Linked DNA regions of Neurospora crassa OR74A. The protein of the gene in region 2 purifies or fractionates together with the protein of the main gene of each other region. This does not show direct contact. Links are inferred from orthologs where the notes say so. Each region holds a gene or a part of one and is shown on either strand. Other genes may lie near its edges.

What was found.
Region 1: the proteins of NCU01171 (region 2) and NCU09552 purify together in Saccharomyces cerevisiae (affinity purification with mass spectrometry; 3 studies listed by BioGRID). This does not show direct contact. The link is inferred for Neurospora crassa OR74A from reciprocal best matches to the Saccharomyces cerevisiae genes MCM5 and TOF1.

Annotation. Positions count from the first base shown.
Region 1 is NC_026505.1:4,563,870-4,568,304, forward strand, and holds the start of NCU09552 (topoisomerase 1-associated factor 1), read right to left. Parts: upstream 3,083-4,435; 5' UTR 2,914-3,082; coding exon 2,839-2,913; intron 2,779-2,838; coding exon 1-2,778. Other genes in the region: NCU09553 (3-hydroxybutyryl CoA dehydrogenase), read left to right, coding at 3,701-3,817, 3,893-4,435. UniProt on the Saccharomyces cerevisiae protein: Forms a fork protection complex (FPC) with CSM3 and which is required for chromosome segregation during meiosis and DNA damage repair. FPC coordinates leading and lagging strand synthesis and moves with the replication fork.
Region 2 is NC_026505.1:3,118,726-3,123,414, forward strand, and holds NCU01171 (DNA replication licensing factor mcm5), read right to left. Parts: upstream 3,195-4,689; 5' UTR 2,976-3,194; coding exon 2,830-2,975; intron 2,765-2,829; coding exon 1,232-2,764; intron 1,167-1,231; coding exon 671-1,166; 3' UTR 358-670; downstream 1-357. Other genes in the region: NCU01170 (hypothetical protein), read left to right, coding at 1-6, 100-192; NCU01172 (GARP complex component), read left to right, coding at 3,883-3,971, 4,032-4,689. UniProt on the Saccharomyces cerevisiae protein: Acts as a component of the MCM2-7 complex (MCM complex) which is the putative replicative helicase essential for 'once per cell cycle' DNA replication initiation and elongation in eukaryotic cells.

The DNA.
Region 1 (4,435 bases), about 1.4 Mb from region 2:
GGGCGCAAAGAGAAAGTCTTCGTCGTCATCGTCACCGAGGAATCCGCGAATTTCTTCCTCATCATCGTCATATGCGGCACGCGTCCTGCGAGAAGCGGCGGCGGACTTGCGCCGGAGCTGGTCTTCGGCTGAGCCGCCGTCCTCAAAGGTGGGAGGGGAGAACTCGGCCTTGTTGATGAGGTCGATGGTATCTTGGATCGCCTCGGCGGTGTGGCTGCCTGGGAGAATCCAGGTCGAGTCGGGGGTCTCGTCGAGAGTAGGCGTGAGACGCTCCATACCGACTAGACGCATGAGAAGACGGAGGTGCGGGTTCTTGAACATGGCTGTGCGGCGAGCCTCGGTATCAGGGCGGATCGTGATATGTGGTGGTGCTGATTTGTTGGATCTCTCGTCGGCAGCTTCACCATCAGCCGCCCCCTCGGTAGTGGCTGCCATGGCCTTGTCTACGTTCTCCCATGCTTGCCGCTCACTCATTGCACTTGTCAGCTGATCCTTGAGCCACTGCAGATGCTCGACTTGCTGTTTGTCGATGAGTACGCTGACCGCAATGCCAATCTGCTCGTCGCGCTCTGTGGCTCGCTTGAACTCCAGCTCGGCACCAGGTCGTGGCGTAGTTGTGGTGACAGGCTTCTCATAGCCGTGCTCAAGGAAGTGCGTCGTGCTGCCAATCTTGGAAAAGAGCAACTCGGTGAACAACGCAGGCCGCTCTTGAAGCTTTTTGACACATTTCCGAATGATCTGCTTGGAGAGCTCCTCCCATTCCTTGAACATCGGCGAGCTTTTGTCGAGGGGCTCGGGACCTTGGACCATGTTGTAAAAGAGATTGATGATGTCTAGTCGGAATAGCATGATGCTCAGCTCGAGTTTGAAGGCAACGCGGTAGAAGTAGCGATGAGCGCGCTTCAGCTGTGCGTCGTTCAAATCCCGGTAGAATTTGGTGAAGGCGACAAATGTGTCGACAACACCCTGGGGAGCGAATCGAATGGCGAATTTCCCAAACTCGAACTTGCGCTCCTGAGTGACCCGCTCTGCATGTTGCTCATCGTCCCCAGAATCATCGGCATCATTGTCCTCGGGAACGCCAACGTCTTCTGCTTCCTCACCGGCGGCTCTAGCTGCAGCAACAGCAGCAGCAGCTTTGGCAGCCTTCTTCTTTCGGCGAGCTCGCTTCCGTGAGCGCACCTGCAAATCGACATTTTGCTTAGAGTAACCTTCTAAAATGCGGAGGAAAGTGTGGACAAGCTCGGTCGCGGCATCAAGATATTCGAAGCCTTGATCCTTGTATGTTCGAGCAATATTCGCGATAAGGTCGTGGGTTGTCTCCTCGTAAAAGAGACGGCTCAGGGTGTTTTCGGCAATCTCCTGGTCTTCCTCGTTGGGAGACTCTGACATCTCCTGGACTGTGAGGAAGATCTGGGTGTAACAGCGCATGACGGACGTGAGCAGTTGCCAATCCTTATCACTATAGGACCGGTCAAGCGCACGATTCATGGAAGCGAACATTTCCTGTTGGAGCACAGCAGCAACGAGGTTAAAACTGTTCACCTCCTCTCCGGCTGCGGACGTCGACTTCGACTCGTCCCTCTTGGCCTTTCTCCGCATCCGCTCGGCTTCGAGGAACCAGGCGACAAGGTAAAAGAACTGGCTCTTATGCTGGTTCAATGCATGCAATGCCTCCCGATCGATCGATTGCCTCACGTGCAGAAACAAGGGGTTGAAACCGGAGTCGAGGAAGTCTTGGACGAATGATCGCAGCTGCTGACGAGCTCTTTCATCTAGCGTCACCGGAGGGCCAAGGTCCTTGGGCTCCATCTCGGGTTTCCTCGCTCTTCTTGGCGGTCTGAATGTTTTGGAGTTATCCATCTTCCTCTCTCGCGTTTTTGCGTCCAAAAGAGCCTCTTGGCCAGATACCGTCACCATCTTGCCATCTGCTCGTTTCACCCAGATCATGGTCCCAAATCGACTGTGCCGAGTGGTGGTGGTTTTGTTGTAGGATTTTAGCATAGCAGCCTCCTTGCGCATCTCCGATGCCAGCTCTTGCCCCTTGGCTTTGTTGAGTTGCTTTTCACTGACGAAGAGCGAGCTGGGGTCAACTCTTTTTACAAGATGAAAGATGATTTCCATGATAACTACATCTTCGGTGCGGAAGTCCTCGCCCATGTTGGAGGCAAGGGTCAGCAGAGTGAGAAATATGTCTTGATACGAAAAGGCATCAATGGTTGCCGACCTGGATACCTGTGTCTCGTCGCCTTCGCATTTGACACCTTGCGGGGGTGCGATCATGGCAACGTTCCTCAAAAAGAAGAGAATGAGCTTGATGATGGCCTGGTCACGGGGTGTCCGCTCGCCGATAGGCATGGCCATGGAGGGAAGGGCTACCCTGACGGCGGTGTTGAGGATGGGTATCGCATCGAAGTTTATGATGGCGCGCTTGTAGCCAAGCTGGGCAAGCTGCAGAACGGGCATGTGACGATGGTGGTTGATGGTCATTTCGGCGCGCTCCTTCTCTATGGGCCAAGTAAGGGGCACCATGACCTCGAAACACGCCAGAGCAATACGGGCCTTGTACTTGCTGTCGGTTTCGCTTTGAGGCCATAATGTCAGGATCTGGAGCAGATCGCCGCCGACGAGGTTCGCTTCAGCCAGACATCTGGCGACGTCCATGCGATTGGTCTTTTCATCGTAGAATCGGATCCATTTCTTCAGGTCGCGCAAGACGTCTAGCGCTTCGTCACCGAGCTTGTAGCTTCCATCATCGTCCGCGCTGTAACCACCGAGCTATTCGGGTCGCCAGAGTCAGTACATCCGTGTATATAACGAGTCCAGAAGTGGACATACCGCAGAAACCAGGTTGGTGATGTGCGCCCGCACTTCCGGATGGACGACATCGTCGTTGATGTCTGCGGCCTCCATTTTGCGCAGAAATCACGGCGTCCAAGACCAGAACGGAGTCATACGAGTACTAGACAGACTCTCCCCAACTCTCAGCTTGTCTTGGAGGTCGTTTTGTTATCGCATGGATGGTGGCATTGGTCGGGCGCACTTTGTCGGGACGGGACACGCGTTTGTGGTGGTGGGAGACGCGCCGACCGTGTCGTACTTTTTAATGGAAATTGGTGGTATCTTGGTCTTGGCCTGCTTATCTCCCCAAGCGTTTTGTCGGACTGTTTTAAGATACCTGGGTAAGTAGGTACCTAATGTACCTAGCTACCTACTAGAGATACCTCTGCAGCAGTACCTGTGCACCCCGATTTCGACCTCGTGGAGAGCTGCGGAGTTACCCCTGTGGACGGGCAATCAACGACAGCCGAGGATCTTGAGTTGGCGCGGGAATCATGCCCGCAATTGCCCCCCCTGAACGACATGCTTGTACCTCTAGGTAGCGTACATAGTACTCCATACGCGCTAAAACCGACCCCATTTTCCCCGCCTAAGAAAAGGCTAGAGCCGCCCGTAGCTCCTGTACGGCAGTATGTTATGTCCCCCCCGTGGCCCGGGTCGGGCTTGTGACGTCGAGTTGGAGACGAGGACGGCCGAGGTTAACCGAATCCGACAACTTCACATCGTCGCATTCGCATTCTCTAGAGGTGCCCTGGTTGCCTACCTAGGTGTAGTCTTCCGATTTTTCTGTCCCTTTCCTTTCAGTCTCTCTCAGTCACAGTGTCTGCTTTGTTTACTTTCGCCGTGACGATCTCGCAAAATGCTTGCTAGAACCCTCGTCCAGAAGCTGCCCATGGGCGCTCGCGCCTTCAGCTCGACATGCGCCCGCAACGCTGCCGAGGTCAAGAGGCTCGGTGTCGTTGGCGCCGGCCAGATGGTGAGTCCGGCCCATATCATTCATGCCCATGTCTTCAACAACGGCAACGGCTGACTTGTCCTCCTTCTCCTTTAGGGCCTGGGCATCGCCCTCGTCGCCGCCACCAAGGCCAGAGTCCCCGTCACCCTTGTGGATGCCTCTGAAACGTCTCTAGACAAGGGCCTTGCATTCGCCGACAAGCTCCTCAGCAAGGATGTGGCCAAGCAACGCATCACTCAGGATGAGGCGGACGCCGCCCGCGCGCTCCTCCAGCCCACCACCATCCTCGAGGACCTGGACAGCGTCGATTTTGTGATTGAAGCTGTGCCTGAGATTCCCAAGCTCAAGTTCGACATCTTCTCCAAGCTGGCCGAGATCTGCCCTAAGCACGCCATCTTAGCCACCAACACCTCTTCCATCTCCATCACGCGCATCGCCGCCTCAACCACCAAGGACCCCAACGACACCTCCAACAGCTCGCGCGTCGTGTCCACGCACTTCATGAACCCCGTGCCCGTTCAGAAGGGAGTCGAGATCATCAGCGGTCTGCAGACCAGTCAGGAGACGCTTGACACGGCCGTCGAGTTTTGCAAGAAGCTGGGCAAGATCCCTTCCATCTCCAAGGACAGCCCGGGATTC
Region 2 (4,689 bases):
GGAGAGGTAAGCTTTGAACATTTGTCCCTTTAACCTTATATCAGACTTGAGATGGGACGAAATGGAGAACGGCTTGCTGACCACATGATGAAACTGCAGATATTTGTTCGGGGACCTTCCGTCTCTGGTGGCGAGGCAGCGCTGGGCGTGGCTGGCTATATGAGGGATGATAACACACTGGCATATGCTTAAAAAGACGGGGTAGGACACGTTCCATCAATGATCGATGAATGGTAGCCTGTATGCAGGAATGCTCTTATTGAATGAATGAGCAGGGAGTTTGAGGCTGGGAGTGGAATACCTTCCCTCGGAAGATTACGAAATAGACGCATCTTCAAGGTTTCGGGTAACCAAAGACCAGACAAATCTGAACCGCAATGACATTCAGGGCATTGAGAATACTAAACTGCAGCAAGATCATCGAATGTGTGTCTTCTAGCTGGCCGTTGAAAACTGTGACAGACAAAATATCTACCATGTCAGACCCAAATAAAATTGGAAGAGCCCCCCTTACGCCCATTGCCATGAAACCCCATATTGTACTTGTTAACCTGTACACCCAAAGAAAAATAAAATAGCAGAGCAAGAACGCTTCGGTTTTGCTTTTCTTTTCTCTTTTTTTCGTCGGAACATCTTCGAAAAACACTCCGTCATTTCCCCACCATCCCTTCTACGCGCCATTCCTATAAACCTGCGCGCCCTGGTTCCTAAACATAATGGTATCCCGCCTCTGCAACATCATCAGCGCCCTATTCAGCGCCACCTCGCTAAACCCTTTACCCTCCACCATTTCCCTGCGCAGGGTCGCCAAGCTGGTGCTCCAGCCGATGGGCAAGCGGCGCTTCAGCTCGGCCTCGACGCGGGACGTCTCCTCGTTCAACTCCCGATTGCTGCCCGTGCTGCCACCTTGGTTGACGGCGTCCATGGTCGAGCACAGGAATAGCCGGATGGCCTCGTCCACGTGCTTCTCCGTCGCGACGGGCGAGAGCGTCAGCTTGGCGAGCGACTCGGTGATGCGCACAATGGCTTCGAGCTGGCGGACCGTGATGGGAATCGAGGAGCGCGCGTTGGCTTCAAGCTCTGAGGCGTGCACTTGCTTGCGGATGGCGACGAAGTGCGAGGAGAGCTTCTCGGCGGCTTCCGGAGAGAGGCGCGGGGCGCAGCGGCTGGAGGAGCGACAATGTCAGTTTTTATGTGTCTAAGGTGGTAGATAGGAGCATAAACAACTTACGATCGGCAATAGCTGATGTACCGCCTCATCTTCTCGACCGGGATCTCTGCCTCAATCCGCTCCTCGACACCACGACCACCCATATGGATACCCATAACGTGCTTGGCGATGCGCTCATCACGGCCGCGCTCGTGCTCATCCTTGACGATGAAGATCATGTCGAAACGCGACAAGATGGTGGTCTGAAAGTCGATGTTCTCGCCCGGGGTCTTCATGTCGTCGTAGCGGCCAAAGATGGGGTTAGCGGCGGCCAAGACCGAAGTTCGAGCATTGAGGATCGTGGTGATGCCGGCCTTGGCGATGGAAATGGTTTGTTGCTCCATAGCTTCGTGTATTGCCACTCTGTCCTCATCGCGCATCTTGTCGAACTCATCGATACAGACGACACCGCCGTCAGCGAGAACCATGGCACCGCCTTCGAGGTAGAACTCGCGCGTGGAAGCGTCACGCTGGACGGAAGCCGTCAAACCGGCGGCGGAGGAACCCTTGCCGGAGGTGTAGATGGCGATAGGAGCGACTTTTTCGACGAACTTGAGCAGTTGTGACTTGGCCGTACCGGGATCACCAAGCATGAGGACGTTGATATCACCACGAAGCCTCATGCCATCTGGAAGGATCTTCTTGGAGCCACCCATGAGTAAACAGAGGATAGCCTTTTTGATATCCTTATTTCCATAGATGGACGGCGCGATGCATTCGGCCATGACATTGTAGAGATCTGGACGACGGCTAAGCTCAAGGAACTCCTGCTCTTCCTCCTCGGAAAAGACAGCCAGACCCTTGGCTGTTTGGTCAATGTCTGTCTGGATACCGACTGCGCGGAGATAGGGTGTGCGAATGGCGACGGCGCCGCTTGTGGACTTCTTGTTGCCTCCACTTTGGTATATAGAAAAAATACCCATGACGGTACACCTTGAGCCGGGCACCACGCGGTTCGTGAGGTAGCGGTCGGCGGAAATCAGGACATGGCGGGGCAGTTCACCGACGGGAACTTGGTCTGGAGCTTCCTGAAGCTTGATAATTTGCTGATCGACGAATCTGGACTTTTCATGTTGTACAAAGTAGGGATCCATTGGGCACTTCTCGCCAGGGTCCCCAGGTGCCCTGATTCTGCCACATGTCCTGGGAAGGGTAGCGCCACTGAAGCCGCCGGATACGTGAACGTGTTGGACGTGGCCGCAGTTGCGGCACTGGACGTGGAGCTCAGTCGCCTTGGACGACATTACCGAGGCACCAATGACGATACCAGGTACCCGGACCAGCCGGGAGATTGTAAGGGAGTCGAGGTTACGGATAGAAACATCTTCGGCGTTGGAGTGTAGAAGCAGTTGGTGGTCGGGCAGGTCTATCTTGGGTTCGTTTGGGAAGACGATTCGGTGTGTGCAGCGCTTCAGAGCGGCCTCGAACAGAGGGATAATCTCGGCGGGTTCGGTGACTAGTCTATGGGCAATTTCTTCATTGAATTTGATCAAGTCGCCAATGTTGACATCGCAGTAGTATTTCTTTAGAAGGGCATTTTCTCGTAGTTGGTCTCTGGAAGGAGTAATGTTAACAGGAAGCTCGACAGAGGACAGGAGTATGCTACACAGAGTACGAACCTGTAGATAAAGCTGTTATCTAGTCGGAAGTCGAGAATGAAAGCCTCGAGCTGGGCGCGAATGTGCTGGTTGCTGTCCTCCTCTGGTACATATGAAGAAGCAGCGCCGGCGTAGGTCCGGGCTGAGAAGACGGACTGATAATCCATAGCTGACGGTGGCTTGGTATGTGATTGTTTTGTTTACTCGCGTGCACTGGCCGTAGATGTTCGCACCGGGAGAATTGTAGAAAATAGCAGAGAAGGGAGGGGTTGTTGGGGGCAGAAAGACAACTAACAGAGGGAGAATCCAAAATGGCAAAACATGTGCGAAAACCGCGACGCGAGAAACATTGATACTGCACACCCAAGACGCGATTTTTGGCAGGGGTTTTAATGGGCACCCCACTTGTAGCTGAATGGCAGGTACCTGACGGCTCAGCAGGCAGGCCCCCTGAAGTGCGGAGGAAAAGGAGTGCTTAAAAGGATATCCAGCTAGGGGGGGTTCACCCTCCAGACACTTTTGCAGCAACCGGTGCAAGACCCAGCTTTGTGGCCCGCTCAAATACATACCACAGTATACTTACTGCGTAGGTAATCATCAGTGGCGGGCGGAGCTTCATTCAACTGCGCTACGTATCCCGAACAAGGGTCCTGTGGGATCCAATGCCCGCTGCGTGGCTTCCGCTGTGAATTGGGGGGACCTTGACATTCGACAGGCAGCTCCGAGTCCCTGACCTCAACACCTGCTCGCGTCGAGACTACAGCTTTGCGCCTCTTCTTGGCCATCTTCTGTGGAAAATACAATCTGGTTCTTGTCTTGTTCTCGTTTCGCTATGATACCCCCGTGACCCTTCGCAGTAACCGCCCATACTCTGGACCACGATAGCCTCAACGCCACCTACCTTGGTTGCTTCCCTTGGCCTGCCGGCCCGCGCCTACAGCTCGATAGACTAATACCGATTACCGAACCCCCTCCCCATCTTCCCACGTCGCCAATCCACCGGCGCATGACCAACGGCCATTTCGTCTTCCCCTGAGCTTAGGCCTAGGACTTCCGGGAGACTTATGAGCCATCATGTTCTCCAACCAGGGTGCTCGCAAGTCGGTCGATAGTCTTTCGCCAATACCCGATGCCGGGCGGTTTGGCGACTTTCCTTTCCACGGGTGCGATGCGCTTTGTCTGTCCATGCCCTTTCCGTAATATACACTAACATCTCCTTGAAGGAGAGGCTCACGCAGTCCGAGCCGCCCGTTCCATTCTCGACGGGATTCGACGGCGGGCTCCATACACTCCATCGGTGGCTCTCTCGACAGTTCCACTGGTACCTGGGGTGACGCCGTCCTAGAGTCCGGTCAGAACGCCATCTCAACCCTGCTCCAACCGCCCATAGTCCGAACCGGCCTCCTTCCCCATACCTCAGCACCCGCTTCCACTGCGCATAAGCCTCCGACTGCTCGAGACATTCCACCTGTCACGCTCACCAATGTCCCTCGCATTGACAATTCCGAATTCACACAATATCTCACCCAAGTCGGCGCGTTATACGAACAATTACGACGGGTTCAGGCAGACGAAGAAGAGGCATCTGGTACTCACAGCAGACGAGGTAGCAAGGCGGACGCAACCTCAGCCGAGGATGGCCACCTACGACCGGGCAAACGATCTGGCGCATCCAGGAGGGCATCCAGCTCATCCATTACGTCCATATCATCGATAGAAGCCCCGGGTCCCGCTCGACGCAGCTCAAGCTACAGGAAAGCGGCATCGCAAGGTCCTCCACCATTATCCACCATTCCCGTGGTATACTTTGACGAAGACTTTCACCTCGAGAACCCCCGAACTTTCGATGTCGTCAGTGAGCGATCCGAAGTGGTACGACCC